Lepisosteus oculatus: one gene and its partner. The protein of the gene in region 1 interacts with the protein of each later gene in a biochemical or structural test. Links are inferred from orthologs where the notes say so. Each region holds a gene or a part of one and is shown on either strand. Other genes may lie near its edges.

What was found.
Region 2: the proteins of sntg1 (region 1) and plekha1b form a complex in vitro, tested with the Homo sapiens proteins (2 studies listed by BioGRID and IntAct, with this or other methods). The link is inferred for Lepisosteus oculatus from reciprocal best matches to the Homo sapiens genes SNTG1 and PLEKHA1.

The regions. Positions count from the first base shown.
Region 1 is NC_090701.1:47,634,004-47,650,736, reverse strand, and holds the start of sntg1 (gamma-1-syntrophin), read right to left. Parts: upstream 8,549-16,733; 5' UTR 7,706-8,548; intron 1-7,705. UniProt on the Homo sapiens protein: Adapter protein that binds to and probably organizes the subcellular localization of a variety of proteins. May link various receptors to the actin cytoskeleton and the dystrophin glycoprotein complex.
Region 2 is NC_090699.1:27,818,048-27,834,819, reverse strand, and holds the start of plekha1b (pleckstrin homology domain-containing family A member 1), read left to right. Parts: upstream 1-8,871; 5' UTR 8,872-8,989; intron 8,990-16,772. Other genes in the region: btbd16 (BTB/POZ domain-containing protein 16), read left to right, coding at 700-894, 1,964-2,032. UniProt on the Homo sapiens protein: Binds specifically to phosphatidylinositol 3,4-diphosphate (PtdIns3,4P2), but not to other phosphoinositides. May recruit other proteins to the plasma membrane.

The DNA of each region.
Region 1 (16,733 bases):
TTGTATAAGCAGTCTTAAAGAGAAAGAGGTGTCCAATGTGATTAATATTTGTCAATGCTTAATTTGAAATTGTATCTTTGTATTCTGTTCTGCGATAAGCTGGTGTTCCATCCAGACTGTTTTCCACATTGTGCCCAGTGCTTCCTGGGATAGGCTCCAGGCACTCATGGCCCTGAATTGGATAAGTCATTATTGAAATGATCATCATGATGATAATCTGTATACTGTACAGTATTTATGATAATCACCCAGAAAAAGAATGAAACAGAAATTAGAACAAAATTGCAAAAAATATTATTGTCTACTATTACCATGAAAATCTACTTTAAAGTCCATTGTAATAGTTGTTAATATATATGGAATGCAAGAGACTTAAAATCAAATCAGAAAATACTGAAACATAAGAGGCACTTTGTGGTTTTGTAGTGTAATGCATCGTATTTGCCAACTCAATTAAGAACCAATATAACTAGACTAGAAAGAGCACAAAGCAACCAACTTATTTTAGCAGAACCGTAGAATCATCTATAACCTATTATAGAATATTATAGTCAGGTCTGACTGATTTTTCAAAAGGACATTTTTAAAAAATTCAAAACAAGAAAAGAGAACAGAGAAATCACCTGGAAATAAAGAAGGAATACAGTAAAGCTTAAGACAGAGCTGGATGCAAGAAATATTGCTGAAGGGATAGAACACATTTCCCAGGCATGAAGTGGACACTGATTTGCCTGGATCTTTCAATATATGTCAAGGCGACGACTTTGGATCAATATTACATGAGCAAATACATGTATATGAGGGAGCAAGACTTTCTCTAGAGTCATTTAACTTAACACATCTGGATGAAAATTATTAAAGTCAGTCTTGAAAATAACATATACTGTAGAAAGCATATTAAATTCGAATGCTGCTTAGAATGCCAGGATTTCTAACAGAATAATGGAATTTTGAAATATAATGACCTCAACTGCAACTTTATTGAAATGTTTTATGCATATGTCCTCTGGTGCATGAAACATGATATAAATATGGTAGAAAAAAAATCTTTAAATCTTTACTCATAAAAATTAAACATGAAAAAGTTATTGATTGATATGATCTTCACACCCTTTCCAAAGTCTACATACCCTTTCCAAAGTAACACAATTTGGAATTTTACCCTGACTGCCTGAAATCAAGACTTAATCAGAATTCATGTTACCTTAATTTAAACATCATAACACAGAACACCCAAGTGAAAAACAAATGCTCAATCATTTGGAAAAGTAATTACAAATGAAAACCTAGAAAACCAGGTTGAATAATTGCACATAACTCTTGGTATAAGCAATTGTAAATTAGCTCTGATGTAACCAATTATCTTCCAAACTACATGCAATTAGCCTCCACCTTTGTTCAACTAGTGATTCTGATTATTTCAGAATAAAATCAGCTTTCTGTAGGTCTCTTAGGCTGGGTAGTGCGTCTCAAAGTGAAGAGTCAACAATGGGCACAAAGAGCTATTCAAAGACTTCTGGGATAAATTTGTGGAAAGGCATAGAGTAGGAGGTGGAAATGAAAAGATTTAAAAGGCCTTAAATATCCCTTGGAGCACAGCCAGGATGATTATTAAGAAATGGAAGGTGTTTGATACCACCAAACCCTGTATAGATCAGGCCATCCATCCAAACTGGATGGCCAAGCAAGTTGGAGACTGATCAGAGAGTTTCCCAAGAGGCCAATTGCAATTTTGAGAGAGCTACAGGCTTTAATGTCAAGACTGGTCAAAGTGCACATTTAACAACAATATCCAAAGCACTCCACAGACCTGGCCTATATGGCAGGAGGGCAAAAAGGAAGAAATTACTGAAAAAACTGCAACAAAACATTGATAGCAAGTGATATGACAAACTAAAATAGAACTTTTTTTTGGCCTAAATATTACATTTAGTGCAAACTCAGCACAGCATATCACCCAAATAACATCATTCATACTGTGAAAAATTGTAGGAGCAGCATCATGTTACTAGGATGTTTCTCACCACAAGGGACTGGAGAATGTGTCAGGATAGAAGGGAAAATGAATGGAGCAAAGTACAGAAAAGTCCTTAAGGAAATCCTACTGCCTTCTGCAAGAAAGCTGAAACTGGGATAGATGCTCACCTTTCAGCATGACAACAACCCAAAGTACACAACCAAAGTAACAGAGGAGTTGTTAAAGACCAAAAAGGTAAATGTCCTTGAGTGGCCCAGTCAGAGCACTGACCTCAATCCAACTGAAAATCTCTGGAATAATTTGAAGTTTGCAGTCCATAATCAATCCCATCTCAATTCTGCTGAGCATTAACAGTTCTGTAAGGAACATTGCCAGTTCTTGGTGTGCTACATTAGTACAGACCTATCCAAACATAATTATGGCTGTATTTCAAGCAAAAGGTGCTTCTACCAAGTACTAACTCAGGGGTGTGTACACTTACTAAGACCATTTTTCTAGTTTTTAATATGTTATTGCTTTACAGATTTTTCCAGTGTTTTGTTTTTCACTTGGAAGCTCGTTACAATATACTGTATAAATAAAGGTAAAATAAATTCTGATTAAATGTGTCCTTATCTCAGACTGTTAGGAAAGGGTGTGTAGATTTACTATAGGCACTGCACATACACCCATAAGGACTAAAGAAAGGTTCCAAACCCAAAAGTCATTTAGCCCATATTCCTTGTTTTGTAGTTTAGTAGCTAAATGTATCTAAAATGTATCTAAAATGTTATTCAGGATTTGGGGCCTTAAACACCTAGCTGGGTAGCCTGTTCCCAACACCTACATTCAGTAAATAAATCTTATTCCTATTCTCTGCTCTAAATCAATGTCCTTTTACAGATGAAGCCATCTAGAATGCATGTCAAAACGGTTGTTGGAAGAAAGTGTATTGCAGTGTAGTACTTAGTGCTGCATACAGAATTTAGTCATTCACGGCTCAAAGAAGATCAATATGTGGTAGTTGTGTTTCATTAAACGTGTGATACGTTGGGAAATGTAGTTTTTTTGTACATGTATTTGACTCATGAGCTGAATTAAAAACCACATGAAGGAGACACTTTCTGATCCATTTAAATAGGGTGATCACCCTTAATTCAAATTGCATATACCGTATATTGCAAGACAAGAAAAAGGGGCACAGACGTATTTGTCTATTTGTCTAGAACAACATACTGTAGTTGCAAACTTATCCAAAGCTATAGTATCTTTAATTATTATAGACAAATGTTTTCAGAGTGCCATTATTACAATGCAACTTACAATATGCAACACTCAAACTTTTTTCTTTTTTGCTTTTAAATGTGATTTTTGAAGCCACTATGTATAATATACATATTTCTAATTAACATCTAAAATATTTTTTCTAATTACTACTTCTATACAATGATTGCAGGAAAGCAGTAATGTGTTAATAAACATGTAATACTGTATCGATTTGTCAGATAACTATACAAAGGTGTGGTTTTACAAAGTAGTGCAGTCTTTCATCAGATGATTCGAAAAAATAAAAAAAGCCACGATCTGCTGCTGTCTGTTATACTGCGATGCCCACTCGTGCAACTATAGGTTGCATCTGTAGTTTCCAATTGCAAAACAATGTGTTTTTGTTTTTAATACTGAGTATGAAATGCTGTGACAGGTTGACCCTACAGTATATGTAGCTCTTAAGATTTCATATACTTGATTAAATCTCTTTTCAGTCTGTATTCTGTAGTAAAGGATTTGTTTCTCTGATCATGTCTATGCATGAGAATCTCCTGAGCCAAGAATTATTCTTCTGACTCGTATTTAAACTCTTCCTAGAGTTATTATATTTGTTTTGTGTATATTGTATAAGTGTATACTGTTTGGTATCCTGTACCGTCTTTATATACTCCAATGTGTTTCAATAAGTAAGTTAATGAACTCTAATTGTCACTCATTTATTTGTACTTGTATACATGTATAATCAATAAAGCCACAGTACTCCTGGTCTCCAAACCTGTTTAGGCAAGTTTCCGGACCTGACGCCTCCACAACTAAACAGAGCATCTTTAAGGGACAAAAGAGGTGTGGATCACAGACTCCTGGGTCAGGGCTATGAGAGGAACCATCCATCATGTCCCATTAATAACACCATAACTGCATATGGCAGGGGGATTGGCAACATGTGGCCCAGAGATATTGTTCACGCAGATGACCATGACACAACAATCCAGGCCTCATCCAAAGCATAGTCCCCACAACCTAAATTATGCTGAATTATTACATGACAACTGACATAAGCAGAGACAGATAGTGAGGCTCTGTGGACTCAGCCCTCTTCCTTCATCCTCCCATCAGAGTAATTCCTTTTGGACTGACAGATATTTTACCTTAATAATTGAAACACACTGTTATTATAATATCTTTTCATATGTGGTATTTATTTTTAACAAATAGTAAAGCGTAGAATGATACAAGTAAGAAAGCAATAACATGTCATTAACCAAAGTGCTTTGTTCATTATGCTGACCCCTGTAGCTGAGACAAGTTAATGACTTATGAGTGCTATTAACTGTACATCCAAACATGCAGTGTGTTTAAGAAGCTGGCCTGGTATACTGATGCCGTGATTTGCATCATAGTAGACCTGCTAAATGATATTTGCCAAGGTCTAAAGCTGGGTGACAGCAACTAAGCATTACAGAAGTGTAGACTGCTGTGATGAATAATTTCAACCCCCGGCATGCATACAGATGCTTACATCTGGAACTCATGGTTAATGGTTTGGCATGTCTGCCTAAAATATATATTTTGTTAAATAATGCATTTCTGCCTATTTTATATTGTTATTTGAACAGAAACACAGTGTGTAGATGATAAATACTTCTGATTTACTTGAAAAAATGCCATGTTATAATAAGATCACTTCAGATCTTTTCAGATGTATTTAAAAATCACTATTAAGAAATCGACAACAATAAATTTACATTCTCAGTCTACCCTCTTTTGTATATTAGGCAAAAAATGATTTGATTACTACAGTCACTACAGTTTCTACAGTTAAATAATTCTACCATGCGACTGTACAAAAAATATGATTTATAATGGTAAAATTTGTTTTTCCTCCCCAAACAATAAAAATATTGCACAGTATATTATAATATTATTTGTGCTGAACTATAATGGCAGTATACAACTGCCATTATTCATTAGCCTTATGCCTATTTTAGGATAATCTCTTATCCTTATAATAATATGTGCTTAAATGTGTTTAATTGATATTGGTTACTTTCATTGGAATATTTTGAGGTGTACTTACATTAAATATATAAATCTATTACAGAAAAACAATGTACAATGAAAAGGGATTTTAATTTAGTGGAAAGTGGAAAATTATATTATTTTTTAGTGACCAGGTACTTGTTCTTTCAACAAAGTGGAAGGGTATACTTCCTAAAGTCCTGTGGAGCTTTTATACCCCCACAGTACTCAAATATTGTTTTATGTTGTTTGGGAGTAAGGCCGTGCGCAACTCTGCCTCTGCCTCACATCCGAAATGTAGGGTAGCCAGTAACACAAAAGAAATGACAGTATCTTGTGTCAGGACTAGCTAAAGGTTTAAATAGGAAACTGTACTACATAAGAACATATTTAAAAATCAGAGATCCTTTCATTAGTTGTGACATCTTCACATTCTATTGTATCAATAATTGTATACTAGTGCCTTGTTTTCATCTGCAGCATCTGTGGGGACTGTAGACATACAGTATCATAGGGAAATGTGTTTACCTTAGGGCATCGTGGAAGACGCATGATACTAGATTTAGTTGTTGTTTGAGACATAAGCAAGGGATGTCTGACAGTTCTGGGATGAAGGATTGTTCTATGACAGGCTGAAAAGAAAAAAAAATGAGGGGGTGCCTAAGGAAATCCTAATTTAGAAACCCTACACTGCAATACCAAATGCAAGCTGATAACTCTTCATGTTTCTGGAACCCAAAGGTTGGTTGGCCAGCTGAAGGCCGAACATGACAGATCAAATCTACATTTTTGACCCACCCACAGATCAAAAATACTAATCCCCATGTTAACTGCTAAATAAAAAACATAATTGGATGATGGGGTTGTGTCTGTCATTGTCTTTTCATCTTCCCAATAAAAGCATATCCTTAAGCAATGGGTGAGCAGCAGGTGGATCTACGTTTTGACTCAATCCAATCCAAATTCAGGACATCATCTTATCTTCCTACCTTCATTTGATTATTTCAGTAAAGGCTTCAGGACCCAGACATTTTGTGAACTGCCCAGTTTAAACAGGGAGCAAACCAACACAATTTCAAACAATGAAGCAAAACTCCGTAGGTTAAAACCTTCATAGGTTGGTTCTCTTCAGGTCTCAGAACCTCATCGGTCTTTTTGAGCTTTTCCTCTTGTTGTGCTATCATGTTAATCCTGTTTGTTATGTGATTTGCTTTGAAAAGACAGCTATAGCACATTGCTGAGTTTGTAAAGATATGTGCACTAACATACAATATAAATATACAAATAGAAATGGTAATGAAAATATAGATATAGAACTTGCACGAATAACCAAGGCGAAATGATTTACCCCAATAACCGGCATCACCTACAGTATTTTTTTTTTCAAAAAAGATCATTAGAAAAAAATACACAGGTTCAAACGTTTTAAAAACAACTAGATCATTCCATATTGAATGTTTCTGGGAGTTATCTAAATATTCAATAGTGTCTGGCATGTTAAATACTGTAAGTTAAAAATTCTCGAATTTCAGGAAAACTGTAAGTTTTTAATATTTAAAGACTTTAAGATTTTATTTCACCGCTGTTGCAGCATCCCTACTTGCAGAATGTTTCTCTCCGGTATTTATTTAACATGAACCTTTAAACGTGAGTCTTTAAAGTAATTTATTATCAAAAACCGATTACGTAAATTGGGAGGTATGAAAAACAGCGTCCCGACTCTTAACTCTCGTGTTTATATTTTCTTTTTTAAACAATTTTAGTAAGTTTCGAACCCGCAGCCTAATAGACAGCCTAATAGACACATTCTTCAATGATAAAGTAGGCTACTAGCAGGTTCTAACAGTTCTAGTTTTCCTTAAGCCACTACAGGATCTAAACAGGCAAGGTACACGGCACATTTCTGAACCTCAAGCATTCCGAATCTTTTTCAAATTGTTTATTGAAATGTGTTTAAATTAATATGTTGTGTAACAAATGATTCATCGTCCCTGTAACTAAGATAACTTGGGTCTAACGATTATATACTGCGCGGTCGACAAAAAGATTCATTATTATTATTTTATTATTTATACACTGTTAATAAGCAAATACCAGCGCTAACATCAGCATAATCTTTAACGTTGTGTTTCTATACAAAAAGAAAGAGCGCGGTGGATTGGCAATTCAAGAGATTTTTTTTTTCTAGCATTCTCACTGTTCAGATCTGGACATATTTCTGAAACTAAGACCGAAGTAATGCGACAGCAAATTTCACAAAGTTCCGAAAGCATTAAATAAACACAATCTCAATGAAAGAAATACTTTTGTTCACTACACCCTCTTTCTCTATATGTATATACAGTGTAAGGGCAGTGTGTACACTTGTTCGTACGTTTTCTCTTATTTTATTAATTAAATCAAAATGTCTGTTATTTGGTATCTGTAAACAAAGTACTAAAACACAATTCAGCTGCTTACCTGGTGTTCAGTTAACAGGTGGAGCTCCAGTATTTATAAAACCCTTCCCTTTTTATTGTATGCACACAAATCCTTCCAACCCAAGTTACAATATTCCTTGTTTGTTTTTCCGGGCTATTTTTTTTCTTCTTTTCTTTCTCAATAACCTCATGGAAATCGCCTCTGATCCTGGTCCCCGTATCTTCCACGCAGCATCCGAGAGTGTCTGAGAACGACGAAGTATAAAAAGAAATTAAATGCCCCAAAGTGAAACGCAAAACTAAACACAAGTTGTATGTGCTCCTTTTTGAATGCGTTATTAGCTCTCCTCACTGCCGATTTCCAGTAAAATCCAAGTGAAATGCAGATTGTACATTTTCCAATCTCCTGGAAGCTAAGCGGTCGCTGTCTGTTTCTAGTGGTGCTGAAATGACTGAATGGAAAAACTCACAAGATAGATCACAGAAACGGACTGAAAATCACAAGGGATTTTTCTTTCCCACACTCTCACAAATCGTGTATTTTTTCCGACTCCGGTTTATTGATCAATTTACCATTCTCCAACCCTTCGTTTTAGCAGCGTTTTTAGCGGCTCAGTACGAATAAAACCGCACGAAACACGTAATCCAAAAACAACAACAAAAAAAAGCTTTGTGACGAGAATATCCGCAGGGTTTTCACTGCAGCTCTTGTTCATTTAGGAAAGAGAACCGTTAACAGCACAGAAGCCGCAGTTACAGAAGCGAAGGGAGCTTTAGTTAATGAAGAGCTCCGCTGTGACGGAGTCTTGTGAAGTAAAAGAAAAACGAACGAGGGCTGAAATTCAAACACCAGTTTCTTTGTAAAGACCGCGCTCTCCTTCAAAATAGTACAAAGTGTTTGTATCTGAAAATAAAACCGAAAGATGTGTGAGATACGCACAAGCTATTAAAGCACTCCAGATAAATTCTGTTTTCATTACCCTTAGTCATTGAAGAAATATAGCTACGACCTCTCAGGTACAACAATGATTCTTAAAGCAAACTTTTAAATGAAAGAAGAATTATGTATAATACATGCGTAAAAATACAAAATACATAAATTAAGGACGTTCGATCCACAGGGAAAAAAAACGCGTTCAGATTTTCCAGACATTCAGTTTATATATGTATGTTTAGTAGATGTAAGCACTCTTACTATTTTAGGACTAGACTCGAAATTTAAATGCTATAACTTGAGCATAAAACTCGATTTGTGATTTTATCTTTTTTTTACTATATATATACTATTATTTTTATCACAATTTTGAAGCACATAATGGTCTTATTTTATCACATCACCAAAAAACATTTTGTAAATATGCTTCTCATCTCTTTGAAGCTAATACTATGGATAACCTATGGATAACACTTATGCATTGTGGTCTGTTGGAATACTGACTCTCACAGCCAAAGCATAGCCTTAAGGCATGGATCTAAATTTTACTCAGCGTGGCGCTCTTATACAAAAGTCTTGTGAAACGTACAGTACACTGGCTACAATGCAAAAGGGAGGGGGATGGTGGTTAAGCAGCGGTTTTTCATGCAAAATTATGGAGAAACTCCAGATGTTTTCTTTTTACAGACTCTATCCTTATTTCTTAATCACTGCAATAGTGTGAAAAATCCAGAAACTCACACTAAATTGTATGTACCCATGATATGTCTGTACTTTTGTAAAATAGTTACAAATGAAAAGAATATATTGGGATTTTTTGGTACACAATTTAAATGCTTACAGGTCTTTTGGACAAAAGTCCTTCACACAATGACACCATGATTTCAATATAGAAAGTATTTGAGATAACTCTGATAATCAAATAATTAATATTGTCTATTTGCTATTTAAAGACACAAAAATCCTAAAAGTATATGCTCCAATTTCAAACTCAAAATTAGCTATTCAAATGGGGAGCTGGGTTAGCAAGTGCTAGCTACATCAGCTTGCTCCTAAGCTAACTGTAGTTAGTATCTTTAGTTAGTACTCTAGTTATCCATTCTCTAAGTCCTTCTTCCATTGCAGGGTCACAAGGAAGCTGGAGCCTATCCTCGCAAGCAATGGGCGCAAGGCAGGATACACCCTGGACAGGAAACCAGTCAATTGTCATTAAGTAAAGGTTAATTCCATGCAGAACATAAGACAGAAAAACAACTGTTTCTTCTTTTTACTCCTTAGCTTGGAATTAACATTTACTTGTTCCAAACTTAGTAACGCTGCCCCAGTGAACCAGAATAATAACAAAAGAGCTGACTGTGACTTTAGACACTGACTTCAAATGTGGGGAAAGTAGCATCATATGTCTGTATATGGTTCTGCTTCCTAGTGTATCATAACAGAGTTGATCATTGTCATAATCTGTAGTTTGAAGATTAATCTCCTGGTCTTCAGAGTACTTTGAACTGTATGTGGACTATTTGCATCCATCCATTTTCTCCTTCCAATTCTGGGTTACAGCAGAACCTGTCCTGCCAAGTAATGGGTGCAAGTTGGGATACATCGTAGATGCGCTGCCAGTGTATTGCAGCACAGACAGAAACACACACGTCTTCCAATGCAGAGCTGGGACTAGCAAGAGCACCCGCCTTAATTAAGGAGGGGCAGGATTGGCGGCAGGTGCACATGATCAACTAAAATATGAAAGAGCTGGAGCGCCCTTAAGAGCAGGGATTACAGTCGTGACAGGTCTGAGCAATATTGGTCTGAGGAAGGGTGACTCTGGCAGGCTGGAATTCGACTTTGGAATGGAGAAGAGTCAGAATTGGGCAGTGTCCATGTATGAACTGGATGAATATATTTGCAGGACACTGTCCAAGAACTATTTTCACAACCTGTATTAACTACCACTAAATTTATTACTGATACAGTTCTATATCTGACCTCCCTACATAAAAGAAAAATGGTAAAACATGTCTTTGAAAGGTTGGTATGATGGACACCTGAAAATTGAAAGTCTTTGATCGGAAAGAGAAATTAAACTAACAATTAGAATAGAATATAGAATATTCACAAGAAAGGATTGAAAAGGATTGAACGATGATGTACAGTAGATAGATTAAATAATGATTGTACTCCATGAAATTGCTATGGCTGGCAATTTGAAGGAGTTTTTAAACATTCTACTTTTCATTTCTTTTAGACTTTCATTTAGGACTCAAAATACGGTGAAATGGTGGATATTTAATATAGGCGATAAATTAGCATGATGCTACCTATTCAGTAAAGACATTAAAGACATTAATCTACAGAATATATCAGGTGCAATTCATGCCACAGCTGTAATTTGTAAAACATTTGCTAAACAAATGATTGCAAATGTATTGAGTATTAAAAAGGGATGTACCATAGGGATGTGTATTTAAGGTGTAAGGGAAAGATATTTGGAAACTAAAATGATCTCTTACCTGATTTCCACTCCCAATAATAAAGCACATGAATTATTGGCACCATACATGAACATTATTCATTAATGTCTTAAATGATCAAGTCCAATAAATATGATTTTTATAATTATGCACAGCAGTCAGACCTAACTGATGAATCAAATATTTTTTTTTTCATAAAATATCAAAATCACAGAACAATATACAGCATAGATCAAAGAGTTGTGGGGAAATAAAACTGTGGACAATATAACACTGTTAAAATGAGGACATCTGAAAAATGGTTATGACATTTTTGAACATTAACATGATCCTGGCAGGATAGATGCACAACATTGATCAGCCTGTAGGTAGTGCTGTGGAATGTTCTGCTATTCTTTCTTTGCAGCTGTAGTCAGCTTGCGAGGGCTCATTGGTCATAGTTGGCTGCTTTTTTTGCCATTCCTGTCTTGCTTCCACAGGCATTATATTGGATATGGGTCATGAGAGAGATAACAGGTTATTTCTGTTGAGAATTCCTAGTGCTGTAGCCACTGCAGTTTACATAATGATTACACAGATGGATCAGATTGATGTCATGGTCCTGCATCTGGTATCATGACTTTAAGGACATTGCTTTCCCTCAGAGATTCAGTTTCCTGGTTCTACGGACTAGTCTGATGACTGTTGAACCAGAACACCGAATTGTCTGGACAACTTGTCTTACTCTAGTCACCTACAATCATGCTTATACAGCAACCAGTTGATTTTCACTATTGGAGTGGGGCATGATTGTTTCTTTCACTGTTCTTACATTACATAAAAGTATGTCTTTTGAATAGCTGTTTATATAGATCCTTAGTCAATTCATTTTTATCTGAATTAAAATATCAAATACTATGCACCTGGTGTTTTTGTCAAATTAAGTGACTTGGGCTTACTTTGTTGCTATATCAATGGAACAGTGGCACTCAAATAATCAATAAACATGTCTGCTTACAGTTTAATGATAAATAACATTATTTATATATCCAAATGGCTATTGGAAACTGCTAGGTTTTCATTGTGCTTCATTAACTATAACTTTAACAATTAACAATAACTACTCTAAATCATTATTTAATTTTGTTTTGTTTTTGAAAAGTTAATTTTTCTCACATCCTGGTGGCAGATTCGTAGATTGGCATTATGCTCTGTCCAAGAGTGTGCTCCCAAAATCAGATTATCAAACTGGTGATGAAGCCTACTCTCGATAGACACCAAGACCATGGGATGCTTTGCTCAAAGACTAAATATATAAAACCCAACAAAGAAATAAACCCATAGGACAAAAGTAGAAAATAAGGGAATACGCATTTAGGAAGCAAACTACACAACTCCATGAGTAGCTATGCACAAACTACATGGGTCTGAAACTGTTACACATTTACAAACTACATGAGTTTAAGTCATCTTCATCCCTCCTCTAGAGGGTGCTCCTACCCTTTTGTATTTTAGTTTCGTTATTGCGTGCACCTGCCCCCTGTTTGCTGATTATTATTTAAGCGTGGCATTTCCGTAGCTCTCGGATCAGCATTGGAAGATGGCTGAATGCCACCAGGCTTGCCTATTCCCCGGGCTCGCAGGTAGCCCGAGGGCAGGTCTTATTCCCTGGCGTCCTGACCATCTGGATCCGGGGCTCGGAGCACCCGGCTCCATTATGATTTTACTTCCATGGTCCGGATTCCTCGTTCCCATTTCTGTGTCTGTTTTGATGGATCTCCCGGCAATGGACTTTGGACGGGTACCTGCTTTCCCCTTCTGTTAGTTTTGGACTTGTTCGCCTGCACCACGCCCCCTCGAGCACAGGAACACTGCCGTCATGCCCCCCTGTCTGTCATCCTGTCCTGATCCTGTTGTGTTTCCCTGTTGCCCTTCTCCAGCCTCTTCCGGATTTTACCGTCTGCATAGGGTCCTAAATGCGCACTATATGGGAGTCTTAACCGGCTCCCATTACAGACTCCTTGGCTCCTTTACCCATCAGGTGAGTGGGAGTCTAGCCTGGATGTGCTAATATCCTTCCCAATCATAATTTGATTTCTGAGTTTTCTGTAGTCTTATTTTAAACCATTTGAAGATGCACTGAATTAATATGACCATCCCAATTTAATTTAATATTTTTATTATATTAAAAGCTCAAATATAATTGTACTTGGATTTTTTCTTCCAGTGCTATGTATATTTGACTCTATAATCTTGGCATATATGGAATATTCTTTAAAGTGTTAACCTCACAGTTGCAGTTGCACATATCTATGAAAACACACAACAACAGTAATGGAACTCAAAAGACAAAGAATCATAAAAATATATTATTTTTATTTTTATTATTTAATGAATATAGAATACAGCACAATGTTATCAGAATTCAGTTTAGAATTTTTTATAATTTAAAAAGGAGGACAACTGTTTTGTCTTGGTGGTAATAAAACTATATATCACTAAATTCAATTGGCCATTGTCTACTGCTCATGTGAGGGCAGTTGGAATAATAAAAATAACACACAAAACTTCTTTTGCCCCAAAGCACTTGAGAGCAGCCTTCTTCTTACAAGTTACAGCAGTGCCCTTGGGGTTAGATATAAAGGAAGCACTATTCAAAAAATCTTAAAAATCCTTTTAAAAACTTATTTGGGCTGTACAGTATATTTTTTATGTTTATAGTGTTATTCAGAAGTATTCAAAACATTCCTACAGTATGTTTCATTTTGTGAAATTAAAAATGATGCAAACACAATTTTTGATTTTTTATTGTATATGTATACATTTTTTATTGCATTCAATACCTAGAGGCACTGACTTATACATTCTAAGGGTAACATAAGTTACAGTAAATGTGCTTGTTCATGACACAGCTATCAGAAAACAGCTGAATAAGAATGGTGTTCAAGGAAAGACATCAAGGAGTAAACCGATCTCCAAAAAGAACATTGCTGGCTGTCTGAAGTTTGCCAGAGAGAGCACTGATGATCCACAAGGTTTCTGGATAAATGTTCTCTGGACAGACAAGTCAAAAGTAAGTACTGAATCTAAAGGTTCACAAACTTTGTCATAAATGGGTATTTAATGTTGTATCTTTTAATGATAAAAATGCTAAAAGAGTATCATGTTTTATGTCATTTGGTTAGTCAGATTAACTTTATCTATTATTAGTACTTAGATTAGGATGTGATAACATTTGAGTGTCAAATACAGTATGTGGAAATCCTAGTGGATTCACAAGCCTTTTCTCAACACTGTATTTTTGCATCAGCATGTAAGCCTGTACAGTAATTCTCATACTATGTAAATTAGACTGGCACCTTACGGTGGACTTTAAGGTTCTCATACTTACATACAGTATAAGGCTCCAGGTTATTTTATGGGCATAAGTGTACAGACTAGCTCTTAATTGGAGATCTGTTGATTCTGATACTCTCACTCTGTTAAAGATCAGGCTTAAAGCTATGAGTGTTAGAGCCTTCTTTTGTACAGTGTATTGCGTCTGGATTTTATTGCTCAGATCCATTAAAAGCTCTGCAACTGTCAACATGTTTAAAACTCACTTAAAGACCTTTATGTTATAGCTTTCAGTGCATGTTCTTGTTCTGCCATTGGTTTTATTAATACAGTTTCCAGTGTGTTTATATTTCCTTTTCGTTCTACTCAAGTTGCAAAAAACACACAAAAGAAAAACTGAATTACCGTCATACCATTATAACTTAAATTAAATTCAGAATTTCTGTTAATATTGTTATTTTTGGACATTGTTTGAATTATCCTTATTATTTAATAATAAAAATGTTTCTTATGTTTGCCTTTTGTTACATCATGGCACAATCACTACATTTGATTGACAAATGTATGACAACCAAAGATATGGCCTTATATCCTGTACTGTAGCAGTTTTTAGCTAAATAAATGTAATAATAACAGTGATACCCTAGTGTTTTTAACTGCAATGGTTTTTGCCATTAAAATATATAAATGAAACTTTCCAACCTTGTTATAGCACTTTAAAAATGTGTTTTTGAAGAAACAAAATTCCTTTGCTTTTAAACATGGTCATACTCCAAAGGCAGCTAAATTAAGTCTACCACTATGTAATGATTCAGTTCATTACAGACTGTTTCAGAGAGGGTTAATTCTAATTTTATTTTATTTTTTTCATAAAATATAATATTCTTTATGTCATGTTTCATGGCAGAAACTGTTTTGTAGAGACACATTTTGGTAATAAGGAATTGTTATAAATTGTACTGTCAGATAAGATAAGAAATTGTCTTGTTTCTCCTTGCTAAGGATTCTGTTTCACATGTCTTCTTATCTCCTGATATCTAGAAAGCCACTAAAAATAGATTAGAGCAATGTATTAGGACAAATGTAGGTGAATGTAGGTTATCATTAGAGTATTACTATTAAATCAGGTTTAAGAGTGACACTTTCATTTATTTCCATTTTAACAAACAGCACTTTAACTCAGACATTCAGTGCATTCACTTAATTCTAGTATACAGAAATACATTTAAATCATGATACATTCTATACAGTCACTTCCAAATTTGCTCCAAAGTTTTCCATCCCGGGATTGTAGTTTTAATAAGTTTTGCATTGCTAAACCCATGAGCGTCATTCTTTAAAGAACATAACATTCTTTAAAACCAATATTAAAACATTCTTCCTATGCTGTTTCACGGCAGTGTTTGCAGAGGGTTTAAGGAATTGAAATACTACAGTGTACTCTTCTCCCCCTTATTAGCATACAATTCAGTTTAATTTTTCTCCTTAAGCATAGCATGGCAGCAGTGATCCAATAGGAATCTAGCTTATGAATGCTTAAAATGCATGCAGTTCTAAGTACTCATACCTCCATTTTTCAATTAACACCAGCTAACCACAGTTTATATTAACAGCCTTTCCATGGTTCTGTTTTGCCTCTTTAGATAGAAAATACCTGGAACCAATCTTACATTGGTATGCAGGTTGCGCCAGTAACAAAGATCCACAGGTACTGCGAAAGAATGTTCTGTATAATCAAGTAGTGAATTTGATCTGACAATGTTTAACCATTATTATCTAAAATATCAAAAATAATTACTGGTTTCCTGATAAATGAATTTTGCAAATCCTCTTACATTTCATATCATTTCATAGGTAATACATTAATTCTTAAAATGTATATTTTAACATAGAAAATACACTTGAATAATAAGGAACCTGTATGTTTTACAACAATTAAATAAAAAAAGCAGCAACCATTTGAGAGTAGTGCAGTAGCTGAAAAAGAAGTAATGGAAAAGGAGCTATGCCTGTAAATCAAAGATAAAGGTCTTTTGATAAATATCAAGTTCAAAGTGATTAAAGTTAATTTCTCTTTTAAAAATTGTCCTTAGAAACATAATCAAATGAATTGGTATTTGATTTTGTGTGCAACATTTAAATGCAAATATTTGTGAGAACACCACGTATACTGTGTTTACATCACAATATCGAGGAGGCTCCAAGTCCAAGATCTTTAAAACATCTTAAGTGCTAAACTACTGCACTGACTTACTACTGTACTGTACTGACCTTTTTTCACAGTACAGGAAAACCAAGACTAAAATAGATCAAACAAAAATACTAGCTCTATCTCAACTCTAACTAAGCTGAAC
Region 2 (16,772 bases), on another chromosome or scaffold:
TATATAAGTGTAAGCAATTATTATTATTTTCAGTGTTTGATTTAGATCGACTGAGTTGCTGTTCCTGGGTTTGTTTAAATTGAGCTGAGCTCTTAAAGCATATAATTCATACATGTAGTAAACATCTAATATTTCTGAAGAGGTCAAAGCAAACCTTCTCTTTCTCAGGAACAGCACAGTGGCTGCAGATATTTCACTGCTATTCACATGTAGCTCCCGTGTTTGTCTTTACCAACTGAAAGCAGGTTTTTCATTACATGTGACATGCTGGGCCTTTAGGCCTTAAAAAAGTTTTTTATTGTTACTTTTAAAACGGCAAGACACAAAACATTCCTATTTTCAAATTTAAAATGGAGATTCTATTACGACACTCATCCTGCCATTACTGCGGAATGAAATTTTCCGGAGATAACTAGAAGTATTCTCCACAAATGTTTCCCACTAAGACCCTAAAAACACTGGAACTGTTTTACCTCAGACATCCAGAGTTTAAAACAGTTCTGAACTACAGAGTAGATCCAAGTAAAGATTCCCAGTAAAGACTTTGTGGCACTGCTGTTTTAATAACCAGCTTTTAACACATGGAGGGGGTAGGGTGGTGGTAGTCTGCTTGGAGCTCTCCCCTGGGTGAAGAGGGGAATTGAAAGCCTGTTTGTGCGAGTCAGTATTGAGTGATCGTGTCTATCTCCTCTCTGGCAGCGGCTGAAACACTGGGACCCGGCCCTCTCGCTGCGGGCCTGTGAGCGACGCCCATTCAGCCTGCTGTCAGAGCGCGGTGTGCAGTACCAGATTACTGTCCAGGGGCTCGTTGGCAGTGGCAGGCAGTGGCAGGAGTTCTGCACTGGGCCAATCTGTCAGGACTTCGGCATCACCAAGAGGTCCTCCAAGAGCCAGGTACAGCCACCCCTGGCACATCGCTGGCTTTGCCATTACAGGGCTGAACAACACACACTCCACAAAGTGCCTCTCATTTTGCACCAGTTGAGGTAGCTTCTTATTATGTAACCATAAATGGCACCCCCCAGCTGTGAAATGGCATTTTGGACTTTGCAAATATTCTTCTTGGAAAGCTGCACAAACGAGACATCAAGTGAAGTAATTGTGGAAATGCAGTTGCTTTCAATTTTGAGCTTATTGATCAAAATAGATTGATTCTTAATCTGTGCATGCTTCAAATTCGGCAGAGACTGATGTTACTGTCAGACATGATGATGCAGTGCCACAGACATTATTATTACTGTGTCCATATTAGATTTTATCTCCTTCTTTCCCTTCTCTTCCTTTCTTGCAATGCTAAACAGCATTTTGAAATTCCCTGATGATTGTGAAATGTATTATCAGCTCCTGGAGCACTCACGCTAATGGACAGTCGGCCCTGGGAGACAAAGAGATGTGGGGGGGCTGGCTGAGTGTCTGACACCTGTGTCATTGCAGCTCCTGCCAATAGATTTTGGGGGGGTTGATTGCAAGGTATAGTCGAGGTGGCTGGAGATCACAATGAGCCTGTGGTGCACACAAACAGACTTGCCTCCTAGCACACTGACATCGAGACCCCCCCGGGGTCTGTTCTCACATGCTGTGTTGTTTGTTTTTTCATCTGACAATCATGTGACCAGGGAGTTTCACACACACAGGACCCAGAGTATTTTACCTCCAGGTCTTCAGAAAAGAGAGATGCAGTTTGCACAAAGAAAATGCAAAAAAGCACACAATAGTCTTCACATGCTCTCTCTAAAATGGCTTTTTAATTCTGAGCGGAAATGGACTATCTAACATTTTGGTTGTGCAGCACGTTATACTGTACGAATGGTTAATTTAGTATCAGTGCTAATAATGGTGGTGATAATTAGTACCTTCATAATTAATATTAAAGTCAGAGTAACAGTTCTACCCTTAAATTTTTTTAATCATTTGATTCTAATACTCATACTTATTGTTTGCATTTCTTTTCATTTTTCTGCAGGTGTTCAAAGTGAAGGGCCTCAGCCCTCCTATTTACGTGACCTTTGCACTTGTCTTCCCTGCTTTCTGAAGCCCATTCTAGCAGGCGGGAGCAGACAGCCGCAGCTCTCCTGAGCCTCTACATCATTAAATCCTGGTATCAGAAATCACAGACAGCATGACTCTTGATACTCTGCACTACATAGACTAAGTAGGGGGGCAACTAGAGGGCACATGCTTGCTACTTTATGCAAAGATAAGGACTAATCCTTATTTGGATAATTTCTTTAAAAGCAGAAGAAACAAAACATCACTTTTTAAGGAGGGGCATGTTAATTAATATCAACTCCTGACAGAGTTTCACACTCTCCTTTGTATAGTGGTGCTGCAAATAACTCTGTATGGAGTTGCCTGTTAAATAAGACCCCTTCATAACATTAGATAATATGAGGCGCTGTCTCTCTGCACATGTCTGTGAGAGGAGATGGGTGATATTTCCATTGAGTTGACTTCTTTGTTTAGCTTATGACTTTCACATGTTAAATCTAACCTGTAAGGATATTTTGCTCTTGTAAGCATCTTGAATTCTGCACCACAGCTTGGTGTATAATATCGCTACTCTGATAGTATATCAGATGTATACCTGGAATTCTGGATATTCCTTCACAAGCCCCTTGTGCTATTTGTTTCTCAGCATTGTTTGAAGGCGCAGTATACTGGCACTGTTCAATGACAGAGCTAGTTTCCATCTTCCAGTACAAACAGCAGAGCTCTCTACTCTTCAACACAGCAGTTCACACACAGTGTACTACAGTGCCTGCTGCCTCTCCCTTCCTCCCTTCTCCTGCCTCACTTCCGTCTCATCTCCCATCTCCTGCATTGAATCATGGCTGTGGATACGCAGTGCTGCTCTCTATAGCACTGTAACAGGAGGCACAACAAACCAAGAGAACCGATATGCTTACCTTTTCTCATTTGTAGCAGAGATGCAGCGTTGTTCTGAACACAAAGAATGAATAAACTGTCAGGTGTTAGTTTCAGTGCATTTTTTGTTTCTGCACCAGATTTGTTCCCCACGTCGTTAATAGTAATTTGAGTTTAAAGTATGAAGCTGTACATCCAGGCAATACAGTTAAGGGAAAGGGAAATGTCTGTGTTTTGGTTGGAGCTGTTGAAGGTAAGCCTTCAGGTTATTGCGAGTTAGAAAAGGTGGAGCAGACTGGAAAACATTTTTATTAACTCTTTAAATTTTCCTGTCTTAGTTTGATTTTTGCTATAGTTTCCTGCTTTAGTTTGATTTTTGATCTTTTTATTGTGGGTTCACTGAGGATGGCCTGAGAAGCTATTTTACTATATCTAGGCAATTGGCATCTTTTAAATAGCATCTACTGGGTTGAAACTATAATTGGTTTGGTTGAGCAAAAAATAGAGTATAACAGAAACAGGAATTGCAGTGGGGCTGTCCGCCCTGCGAGTCTCTCCCCTGTACCTCCCTGTACCATCTGAAAAATGACTAGAGTCATTGTGAAATCTGCATTGCTATGTAACCAGCCTGCTTTGTGTTTGTCAGGGGACCTTTGTAAAACTGGGTGGGATGTGAAATGATAGAGCACGCCTAGCCCTCATAGATCTAGGCAGATCATTATAAACAGCACTGTGAAAGACTGGACCTGCCTTAATTGCAAGACAGTGTGAAACAAAACTCATACACAAAGGGTGCAGGATTTAAAAGAGGCAACCATGTTCTTCAAAGTAACTGGGAAGTCCAAGTTATTCAGATGAAGCCTGACTGCACTTTTCTGCCTATCAGTGTCCTTTTAGACTTTGCATCTAAACGTTTCAGGATCCAAAAGCAGCCTGATCAAAATCTTTATAATACAACTGGAATATTGCCAGTATAAATAATAATCTATTTCCCCATAGCGAAAGATGGTAAAACTGAGACAGCTGATCACCAGTACAGACAGGATGAACAATAAAGAAGCTAGTGAAACCTTATTTCAAAGCAAAGAGGAATGCTATGCTATTAATTTATAATGACAGTTGACATTAAATAACCATTTGCACTTCAAAGGAGAAATCTGAATATAGTTATTTTCGCCTGTGGTGAGCTGCTGCCAGGATGCAGTGTAAATGCACAGTTTGCCTTTACCTCAATCCATTTAGGAAGCTGTGTAATCAGTGAAGTGTCAAAAACAGCTGATTACACTGCACCAGAGAAGCAGCTATTATCATTGCTGAGCTGCTGTGAACTCAGGCCCCCAGCACTGGGGACAGTGGAATTCTAGACACGCAAACAGAAACTAACACATTTTGTGAAATACCTACCTGAACAAGTATTGTTTCTTTCAAATCTGTCAGCTTCTACCCATAAACTAAATATATATTAAATGGTTCTTTTGCACGTAATGTTGTGGATTCGAGACACTGTTGCTGTCCTGAAATAAAAAAAACACCAACAGTCCAGTGTTCAGACCCCAAATTATACATCCCATCCAGACAGTAATGTTTCTTCAGACTTTCTAACTTGTCAGCTTGCTCATTGCTGTCAGTCTGGATGAGCTTTTGTTGTTTCAGGTTATGCAGAAGGATATGTCACATAAAATAGAGATGAGCCTCATCTCAGGGCTTAAAATAAGTGCCAAAAGTCAGAAGCAGTCATTCAAAGGATATTGCATTCGTATCAGGATTGGCGCCCACTGATTTATTAATTCAGAATTATGTGTTTCTCTACATTCTAAATATGTTTCTCTGCTATTGTTTCTGAGTTCTAATTTCAGTGAAAGGAAGCAGTGTTGCTCCACGGATTCTGTATTTTCACATGGGCAGGCTGCCATTTAGGAAACTGGGAAGTCAGCCCTGTGTTGGCATATCCCATTGCATTTCTGTAGAAGTAAATAAGGTAGTATTCCCATTTGCGGTTGCCAAATGAGTATCACTCCCTGGGTTTGTTCTTTTGCACTCTGTGCTCAGTTGCTGTGGAGTTTCCCAGACCTGTGAATTGGCTGTTTGAAATCAGGCTCCTCGTTGTTTGCACGCTTTTCATTCTGTCACCTGACTATACGCTCCAGCTGCAGGAAAGGGGAATCCCTCGTCCTTTCTCAAAGGGGAAATGCCTGTAAAGAAAGGTGAACTGTGTTAAAGCAGCAGTTAAGGAGGATTTGAGAAATTCTGTCTCAGTTGTGTGGAAAGCATTCTGTTTTTTTTTATAAGCTGCCACTAATTGTCAGTGAAAGGTCACTGTTACCTCGTGTGAGGACATTAATGATATTAACAGATATTTGGGGTTTGGCTCTATGCACTGCCACCTGCTGTGGTCATTAAGATGTAAAGTCAAGCTCAACTTGACTTTATTTTCCAATAAGGAGCCTGTTTTGTTACAGGAGCACCTGCTACACTTCTCGAATGTGTGTAAGTTTCAGGGGGAGATGAGGGAGAAAGCCAGAACAGTTATGTTTTTCTTTGTTTGTTGTAGTTCAGCATATAGCAAGGGTCTTTTCCATTTCGGACCTCAGTCCTACAGTATTTCAAAATGAATCGTTTGAAAATAAAAGTCCAAGCATGGAAAATGCTAAGAGCAGTAAAACAAGAAAAAAGGAAGATGCCAATGAGAAAGTGTGTTCAGCATGTGTTGCAGTGCATTTAATCAATATTGTCATCGCTATAATATAATATAGGGTTAGGCAACAGCTCCCTCATGACCCCTCTAAAGGAAGGTCTCTTCTTAATGAAATTAAGACTCTCTGGTGTTGCAATAGAGAAAGGAGATGAGCATGGAACCTCAGAGCTTTCCTTAATTAGCAAACGAGTTGAGCTATTGGGCAGACTGTGGTTTAGATGTTTAGATCAGCTAAAGCAAGCATCACTGTCTTTTTAACAATATCTACTTTAAATATGGCAGATGGGGAAGACAGAAAATTGCTTTGATCACAGGTATACTGTAAAATTAGTAAATTATCCACTTGGCTTATTGTACAAAGAAAAAGTGCAGTGAATGTCTGAAGACTAGAAGGAATAAATACAACAATTTTAACTATTTTTTTGCTAAAAACCCAGGGAACAGGAGTTACCACTGAAAATTATTTTGATTGCAATTCAACTTTCATTGTACGTCTTAGAATTATCTGCTAAACATTGCCATAGCAACATAACAATCAATAAAAGAATGGTTCAATATTGGAGCGGGTTCTGTATAAGAATAAATAGATTTGTACTTAGAATAAGTTATGTGAAATAGTATGAAAATGAGTCTTAAAGTTGTTTCTATACCAGTTACTACAGAATAAATGTTGCCCATCACATTCAGCAGTGAAGGTCCTACAGTTCTGCAAGTTTGTTCTGTATTTTAAAAAAAGAATATTAAAGAAATGAAAACCCCAAAGAGCAGTAAAATTTTATTAATAACACTGTATCATTCCTTGAGATGAAAAACGATTGATATATAAATTATATGGTGTTATACTAGCCTTCAGATATTGTTCTTTTCTGTCAATACAGGCATCTGACCTCTTAAATTGATCATTTTCATTTAAAAGCTGAGTCCCCTCTTGCTCTCATGCCATAGGGATTATTTCTGCGTAAGCAGAAAGGCTGGTTGTGGTACATTGTAATGGAAGCATCTAAGCCATGATTGATGAGGGTGCAATCATTGATGAACACAGCACAAACACACATTCTCCATTAGTCTGGATAAAAACTCTGCAGACGTGTTCTTTTGTCTCTGTTGCTTGTAAGGCCTTTGAAGGGGCTGCCTCCACCCTACCAGCTCTCCCAGATGAATATATTGTGCTGTGACCTCTTCGCTTTTATCACTGCCCACCCCTGTGGCACAAAGCAATAGACTGTGAAACAATCTAAGGGCCTTTCCAGGAAGTTTTTTTTAGCTTTACAAATTAACATGGCATAACATACTGCACAAAGGTTCCTATCCATCCATTATCAGTAGGCTGCTTATTCCTGGTACAGATCAATTGTACCCAAAGCCCATAATGGGCACAAGGCAGGCCCACAGCCTGTTTGAGACACAAAGATACTCCTAAAATCCACACTTTGCAAATGCATAATAATAATAAGGACATGAATTCTTACTCTGTCACACCGGTTAATTGTTGAACTATTGAGCTTAGATGCTGTCGTAAATGTATCACATCACCATAGTATTTATTGACCTTTGAAAACAAACGTTAATTAGAACCTCAAGTGTTTTGGAGGGGGAGGCAAAAAACAGAGACACTTTAGTGTCTTTGATCATCATTGCTGATGATAACAGTACATAGTTTTACTGCATCCATGTATAACACTTGCAGTACATATTCATTCATCATCAGCGAGCAGTGAAGCTGGAACTTGTCAGGGTGAGGCCAAAGCCCACCCAACACCCACAGGGAGCAAGGCAGGACTTGCCAAGGGGAGACCACACTCCTGGGGCACCAGATCAAGGGAGGAAGGGACAATCTGGGAAAGCCTGGCAAACGTAGCCAGCACCTCTTTGTTTGCTAGAAAACGTATTGAAGGTCCATGCAAATGTGGGGACAAAATGCAAACTTCATGTGGAAAAATGCTGGAGGCCAGAATCAAAGCCGGGAACCTGTAATCATGAGGCAGCAGTAATGACACCAAAGATATGGGGGTGGAGCGGTGGTACTGTGGCTAAGGATCTGCCCCTGTGGCTGAAAGGTTGCCAGTTCAAATCCCGTGGCCGGCAGAGGAATCCTATTCTGTTGCGCCCCTGAGCAAGACCCTTAACCCCAGCTGTTCCAAGGGTGCTGTATAAATGGCTGACCCTGTGCTCTCCCTGTCTGTGTCTCATGGAGAGCAAGCTGGATTATGTGAAAAGACTAATTTTAGGGCTAATAAAGTGATCTTATCTTATATCTCTCTCTTGGGCTTTTAAGAGGATGATTGCTTTCCACCATCATCTCACCTAGTGAAAACAGACGATCATAAGAGAGGTTACAAACAAGAGGCCATTCAGCTCACATATGGTTAGCGAATAATTTATTCAAGGTTCTCCTCCAAATATGATTTCTGCAAGACTCCATTGTCAACAGCATAGCTGGGTAGCTAGTTCCATGCTCCCACAGCCCTTTGCGTAAGTATGAGCCACTTGTTCTCACTTTTAAATGCAATTCCACATAGTATCCATTCATGTCTTCTGGAGGACAATAATATACACAGTCAATAGACTTTTTTGAATTTGGACATCCTGAGTAGAATGGGTTGGGTTGTTGGTCTGGTCCAAGACAGTTTCTGCTTTTAAATTTATAACATGCATAGATTTAAATTACAGTAACCATAAAAAACGGGATTTAATTTCTGCCTGCATCACTCATCTTTCTATCCACTTTCTTGCTCACACAGAACCTCCCTCAAAGGGTCTCATGTGCTTTGGATCCTGTTCTCATTAACTGTAGTTTTTGCAGTTTGTCCCGATCCGTTGCATAAATCGTCCTTTTATTGTACTTTTATCCTTTTGTTTTACGCAATATTGTGCTTGTTTTTTTTCCTTTAGAAAATTGTAATAATGCCATTTCCCGTCCATTCAAATAAATGTTCAATAAAATTCTTAAATTACATTGTTATGTATATTTACACAATTTGGGCTATGTTAATGATTTTTTTTATGTTAAATTATTATTCAAGAGAGCTGTATTACAATGCAGTACTGTAATTATTACCGCAATAATGGTATTCAATTTTGTTTACTTGATCTTTCCGTTTTTCGTTGCCGGCGCCTTTCGGACTAGTTCAGTTTCAAATCATAGCTCAGAGAAATTACATCCATCCATTTTCTAACCGCTTTCTCCAATACAATTGAAGTTTAAAAAAATCCAGCATTACGACAGCGAGAAATTCTGCTAATACTACGATTCCCAGAATCCTGTGTAAACAAGCTTCCGGGGAAACAAAACGGCGTAGGACCTCCCTCCCCCTACAGAGCTTCGGGATAGGTAGGAAGTCAGTGGGAGATGGGCTGAAAGAGTTCACCAGGGTAGGTTTGGGTGGATCTCAGTCGTTACTATCAACCTTTCCTGCAGAACGGAACTGAGTAAGTAAAGAGAGCTGAACTTGTGTTTTTGTCTGGGAGGTTTTCTTGCCTATGGTTTGAGACCGGAGGAGAGAGCTGGTTGCGTGCGAGATTGAGACGTTCGTGGCGTTTCGCACCAAGTACCGTGAAATAAAATCGCAGCTAGCGGACGGGGTTGTTTCTGCGCTCCTTGGCTAGCACACCGAGTAGTTGGATATACTGTACATGTTAATACATGTTGTTGGTAGCCCCCAGAGGCCCCGACTATTGAAGCTACTTCACTGCGCTTAATTGTTGGCTGTGATTTTCTTTGTTGAGAAAGTAGTTTAACTACGAATGAGCAGTATCGTCGCAAGCTGTACTTACAGTTGCTGTTTCAAACTTTTAAAAGAGCACAGGGAATGATGAAAAAGAAGGCTCTCGTTTCAGTCGAATAATACTATATATTAAAACTACAGACAGCAAGACCTTTTAAGTGCGTCGGTAGGTGCAGGGGGTTTGTAGCATCCGAGCGCGGATATGTAGCCACGTTGTTGAAGTTTCACCTTGATTTTGTAAAAGTTCAATGTAAACAGTATGACGTTGTTTCCTGTACTGATTTAATATGTTTTAAAGGTTTAATTGGTCGGCTCACTGAAGCTGTAATGGTCTTAAAGGTGATTGTAGCTATTGTATTCTCCTAGTTTGGTATTCAAATGCATTTATTAGTGCTCTACATTGTGTTAAAGAACGCATAATTATTGCGTTTGGCAGTAGGCTCAGTGGTCCTTTACACAATCGGTGTCTTTGTGTTTGTCAACCGGTGTTTTCCAATTATAAAATAGGTTGAATACACGTGATCAGCTCTCGCAAAATTGAGCTCCCTATCCGACACAGTTAGCATTTTTCTTTATTGCGTTTGCAGAAAAAGCCCTTATAAAATCAGCATATTGGTACTGATTCGCTAGAATCAGACTTAATCATGAGAATTAACAGTAGGACACATATACCAACAATATTAGACAGGTTTTCTGTAGTCTTTTCGTAACGAGGTAATGGATAGTTCTTCAAATGACAAGTCAAGCTGCTGGATGAGTCTTAAAATTTCACCTTAGAGTGTTTTTGAAAGTCTGCATGTTGCCATCCGATCCTTCTGCTTTCTGAATTAAGGCAGTTCTCTCGTTATAAGACTTTGTTTCCTCTTTTAGGGGTGTTGGGGCTAATTTTACTTACTGTGGCTTGAGAACATCAGGAGCAGTGAAGTCCCACTGTTAGGTTTGGAATAAAAGGTATGCCCATATAGCAAAGTGTATTTGCGACCATCACGGGACAAGATGTTTTAGGATCCTCCAAATGCACTCTCCTGGTTCCACATGAGGTCTGTGTGGCACCAAAGCTGAAACAGAAAGATATTTTTGAGAACTTTCATTGTCTTAAGGGGGAATAGCACATTCCACGCTATATTCAATGAAGGCAGTTTTCTATGCTCATGGTGAACTGTGCTCATGTATGCTGTGAATGGAATTACTTGTCGTCCAAAGAAATGTTATTTGATACATTTAGATGTAGTACTTAAACATAAATGGCCTTTTAAAGCAGTGAAACCCAAGAATGTCACTATCTTTGTGACATTATACAAATCTCATGAGGTCAGGATCTTGACTGAGACTGTGCTATGAGCTTGCCACCTCATATTCAGTGCATCTCTGGCCATTGGCAGGAATGCAATTAAAGCTGTGCCACATCAGTGTTATCTATTTAGGGCCTCAAGGATCTTGTATAAATAATACTAATGAAGGAGGCAAACACATGAGCTGATTCATAAATATTTAAAGACTTTCTTCCTTTTGGCCTTTGAAAAAGGAGCCACAGTTGGTAGAACATAAAAATATTCAGACTTGCTCACAATGCGAGTCTTAGTGTCGTGGTATCTGCCAATGCCTCTTTCATCAAGTACTGGTATTCCAAAAGCAGGCCGACTTTAAATTTTAGAAGGACAACTTTATCTTCATTTCATCCCTCTGTATGTTGTGTCATCATGTTGTTTTTTTTGCAAAGTGTTGTGGAATGCAGCTTAAAATTACAAAATAGTTTTGTGTTCTCATTGTGAAAGATATGTACAACCCTGTGGTTTCTCGGTCAGGTCTTGAGACCTTTCCACCCACTCCTACCCTTTTCTGCAGACACCGGTCTGAAAGAGACTGACTTCAGAATAACTCAAAATGATGCGTGTTTTATTCGAAGGGCTTGTTCCACTGGAGTACAGTACGGCAAAAAAGTGCAAGTCATGAGTCTTCTGTTCATACACCTCTGGAAAGGAGAACCAGCTCTAACAGTGCTTTTTGTGGCCTATCTGTGTTATACTTCAGTGGAATGCTTGTTGCCATTGTGCGTTTCTAGGCTTGCTCTTTATCTTCATTTGCAACTAACTGGGATAAAAAAAAACTGAGACTTAGACATTTATCTGTGTTGTTAGGTAAAACCTAAGGCATTTGTTGGGTGTAACCATGTCATCATTTGACTTCATATTCTACCTGCATGTAATGCTTTGCACTTGCCACTATTGAATGTGCTTTTCCTGTTTCTTGCCTAGTTCTAATTAATATATTGAAGTTCACTTGCATTTCTTTTCCTGTGTTGATTGGCTTGCCGCTTACCCACATTATCTGATATGACTTGATTACTCTTCTCATCTTATGAAACAGATTCCTTGTATACCCCACAAATAATGTCACCTCATTTTGAGGCCTCTCAATATATTAATCTTATTAGAGTCCCTAAGTTTTTGGTTTGAGAATTATTCTTCTATAGGAAACGTTTTAAAAGCTCTTTAGAAATCTAAGTGTACAATCATACAATATTGGTATCCTATATTAGTTAAAAATGTAACATTGTAGTGCAACAGGGTCCGATATATGGACGAGGCTTTATGTGAATTGCAGGGGGATTTTTAAATATTTGTGGATATTTGTTAATTGTGCACAAGACATGCAGAATTGTGAAAAAGTAATGTACCTTTATTATTAATTTGGGAAATCCAGAGTAGACCCATTTAAGAACATTCCAGTAAATTCTTAACCAGACATTTTGCTGCAAAATATATTACATTAATGAAGTATTCATACATTCATTGCAAGCAATAAAATATTGAAATCAGTAGATAGTCTGATTCTACACAACAGCTGTAGAAGAAGATTCTAGTTGCCTAAGCATTTTAGACTAAAACAGTGTTTCCTTTAAACTCTGTGCCTTGTGTTTGTCATTATATTGTTTATAACTGAACATTTGGCTTAAATTTATTATCTTGCAGGACATTGGAATCTCCTGTAAAGTTTTAAATTCTAGCATCTTTAACCAACACTTGTCTTTATATTTGTTTCCAAAAAGTTGCACATTTATTTACAAAAGCTAATTGGTTACATATTTGTCTTTATGCACAAGGTTGTGTTTACTTAAAAAAAAACTCTAACATGGACCAGAGGAGGGTGTTCTTTAATTTAATTAATGATCATTTAACTCAAGTAGTTCTGCCAATTCAGGTGCTTGCTCAAGCCAGGCTTTCTCCTTGCTTTATTCAGTGTGGAAATCTAAGAAAAGAGACTAAAAATGAAACTTGGGGTCTTCAAAATTAACATGCGCAGTGTTGTGCTCTACGGTTCTGAATTCTGGAAGGTGACCAACACCATCTCAGAGGAGATGACGTCTGACACCTTTCAGAGCAAGTGCCTATGGCAGAAAAAGATGTACTGACCAAACTGGAATGACCATCTGCAACGAAGGCTTTTAGACCTCAGGTCGCTCACTACAATACTCACAGAGGAAGATGGAAGTGGCCAGACCATGTCTTGTAAATGCCCCTCTGACTCTCTGCCACGAGCAGCGCTACGCTGGACGCCACAAGGGAAAACAAGTAGAGGCAGACCCAAGGAGACATGTGGAGGGGGAACTCGCCTGGGGAACTGCACCAAGAACAGCAGCAGGTCCCATGCAGCTGCCTCATGTCAGAGGCGGCACAGTAGAGCCCTGCTCAGATGTCAAGTCATCGTCCAGGTGTTGTGGGTCGGAGCCTTACTGTGACTGGGGTTCCCTGAGCTCCAGCACACACGTGTCTGAGCCCCAGGAGGGTCGAGGGTAGAAATATACTCGGCCAACAAAAATAATTATTTGATTTTGTGTGGTACTGTACACTATGTATATAGTGCAACAGAGCTCGCTGTATCACCTGCAAATACACATCCACCACCACACTCATTCAAGGCCCCTCAGGACAATTCCGGATCACCCAGACAGCATCTTGTACCTCCAGCAACCTTATTTACTGTATCTCTTGCAGTAAATGCCCAGCCATCTACATTGGAGAAACAGGAAGGAGACTCGGAGACCGCTTCAGAGAACACGTCAGGGCTGTGAGGATTAAAGATCTCTCCAAGCCCATTGTTTCTCATTTCACCTCTGACGGCCACGACCACACTAATCTCTCCGTCTGTGTTCTCAAAGACGGTTTTCCGAGCTCATACATCAGAAAGAGCACCGAAACCAAAATTATTCTGCAGCTAGGATCACACATTCTCCCTTCCCTTAACGACAGATTACTGTTCTTTTAAATTTTCTCCATTCATTGGAAGTTTCATTTCACACCTCTCTGCACCCATTCTGACTTCACACCTCTTGATTGGCCTCTCTTTCTGTCCCCTGCTCCCGCCTCTCACTCCTCCTCCCTCCCAACCTTTGTTCTCCCGCTACTTTACCTTTGCCTACTGCCCTGTCTCTCTCACACCTGAAGAAGGCTCCACGGCCGAAACATTGTGTTCTCTTTCTTCTTTTTTTTCAGCATGGAATAAACCTATTGTTCCTTTGCAGCCTACGCATGCTGACGCAGCTACCCACCTGAACCACTATGTATATGTTTTGGGATTAGAAACCATCTTTTGTGGAAGTTCATGGAAATTACTGAACTGAAATCATAGCATCGTACTTTGTATATGAGACAAAGACAATTAAATATCCCTTGCTATATTTATATTAATCAAGTAATTTGCATTCCAGATTCTACTTCCTAAAACAGAACAGCATAGCATTTCCTAAAATGTAGAAGGTAACGCTGAGAGATAGCAGGGACATGTCTATGTAAATCCTGCCAAAGTTAGCAATGAGATAGGGAGTGAAGAAGGAGTTGAAGGGTGTTGAAGGATGCTAACTTTTAAAATAGCTGACTCTCTGCTCAGTTTAGCAATTATTAAATGTGGTGTTACTATGTTTTAACAGCCCTTCTCTATTTAGAAGAAGTGTTCAGCCACATTGTTGGTACAGCGCACCTTAAATGGCATTCCACCCTCCCACAGCTCTTGTCCCAGGCTCTAGAGCAGGTTGGGCAGTGTGCTGTCCTGCCCACTCCCTCCCTGGTGTTGCTGCGTTCTCTGGTTGTGAAGAACTCAGGACTTAAGAGAACAAAAGCTGCAACACATGCCTCTACATACAGTTCTTTCTGTTTTTTTTAATATCAACTAATATTGAGAGCTGTGGAAAAGGCATGCAATTATTTGCACATCTCGATTCACATTCTGTACTACTGTTAAACAAATTTCACTCTGTGATTTTGAGAGAGAGCCCAATTCACTGTGCTGTAGTATAGGACACCAGTTAGGTCAGTGTGTATTTGCCTCCTTTGTGTCATGGGTGTGTGAAAGGTAAGGACTGATATGAAATTCCAGTGGTTTTTGGTGTTGCTCTTTAATTGTATACTCAGCAATGTGCTGCTTTACTGTTATCCCTTGACTAGATTCTGGCAGTTAGTCTAGAAATTGCCAGGTGATTTGACGAATCATAGTGCTGATTAAAGTGTTTTCAGGATCCGGTAAACTTGTTTTCTTGACAGTTCATTCAGTTTACCCACTTACAGCCCACGTTACAAGAGCAATGATTCCAGTTAACCGCTGCTGGGTTACTGGATCACTCCAGTTACTGGATCACTCCAGTTACTGAAAATATACTGGCTGAGGAAACATTTTACTAAGAATGACATCCACATTGGTGTACGCTTTCTACTGTATTTGTGTGTATTGAAGTTCAGCCATTTTCTTGTTGAACTTTGTGAGTCCCTAATAAGTAAGGTATTTGGGGAAGTTGGGGGATAGTCTTTAAGTGGTAGTTTAGAGACTTAGCGGTATCTGCCTGTCTGCCAGGTAGGCAAAGTAATGTGCTGTTGGACTGACTCTCCATCCCATAGTGTTACAGGAAGAAATGAAGGAGGGTTGCTGGAACTGCCTTTGTAGATCATATTCTACATTTACTGTAAATTAATGATCATTTTCAGTTTCACAAAAGAGTATAAATACAAATACAGCAGCAGTGCTATGTTTTTTTGGCCCTATACAACTAATCATTTGGTGAATGTTTTATAAAATAAGTAAACTGATCTTTTTAATAGATTAAATTCTCCTCAAACATAGGCACATCTTTACTTTACTGAAGCTGGTGGTCATGACTAGGCTTGTTGTTTAAAAATTGTGAGGAATAAGACTGGGATTCAGTGCTGCAGAATACATTACATCAGGTCTAAACTGTACTTCAACAAAGGTGCTTAACTGTATTCTGTGCAGCCACCTACACTAGAACCTTGTATTTGAGGAGTTAGTCTACTGTGTTACTCAAGGCAAGGAGGAACTCTGAGGATCCTTTCTTAAGCTTGCCATCTGAATGGTGAACCCCGACTCTGTCTGTTCAGTCTTAATAGTAACTTCATTGTAAATATTTAAAACACATTTGGACCATTCTCTTCCTGCCACGTGAAACTTAATCATTTGAGCACTGAACTGAAGTCTTTCTTACCTTCTGTCCTTCAGAAACACTATTCCATTCTTGTGTTCAGAGATCATCCTTCACAGTCATTCATTACTTCATACAGCTGTACTAAACTTTAACAAAGTTGAGAATCATTTCAAACACTAGACTGTGCACGTGATGTTGAAATAAGTGGGAATTCTTTCAAACAGCTTCAACACAGTATCTCTGCATTTAGTCCCTCTACAATTTCCATAAGCTTCCTGTCCTCATGACTAAATGAATACATCACGATGGTAACAAAGAGCTCTTCTAGATGGCTGAGCCTCTCTGCCATCTTGGAAAGAGACTGAACACTGATATTTCATGATACACAGTGTGGAATGATATAGGTCCTACTAAGTGTTCTAGGTGCATTATTCCAATCTCTAGCTGAAAATGACTTCCTGTCTAGTTATTTTCTAAGTGGGTCATAGTTTCGGCCAGGTAATTTGGAATCCAGTGTATGGATTGGGGAGACCATTGGCCTGGTGTGCAGTGAGATGACTGTCATATTTAGCAAAAAAATCATAATCAAGACAGTTCATGTGTACTGGGGGTTAGGAAGGTGATAGAAGACCTTCTGGGGCACAGTGCAAGACCACTGGCTCCCCAAAGCCAGACATCAGAGCACGCTGATCCATTTGACATGTTCCAGCTGAGCCTTTTATTACTTCATGGACCCTTCATTCAAACAGTATTCCCTTTACTTGTACTAAAGATGTTAGCTTTAGGAAAATGGAAGTTGCAAGATACCTATTGCATTTTGTAAGAAACTTAAAATCTGCAGCTGTTAGGGACCATTTTCTTAAAGGGTCTTGGGGGGGTGTTAGTGGGGAAAAAGTGTAAAGGTAATCCACGGCACAGGTGTCTCGGGTTCGAATTTGGTTATGTTACTACTGGACTGTGGCTGAGATTCCTGGAGTGGCAGAGCACAGCTAGGAGAGCTAGGTGTCAGCAGGGGTAACATTGGGATTAAGCCGGCGTCACACTACGACTTTTCCTA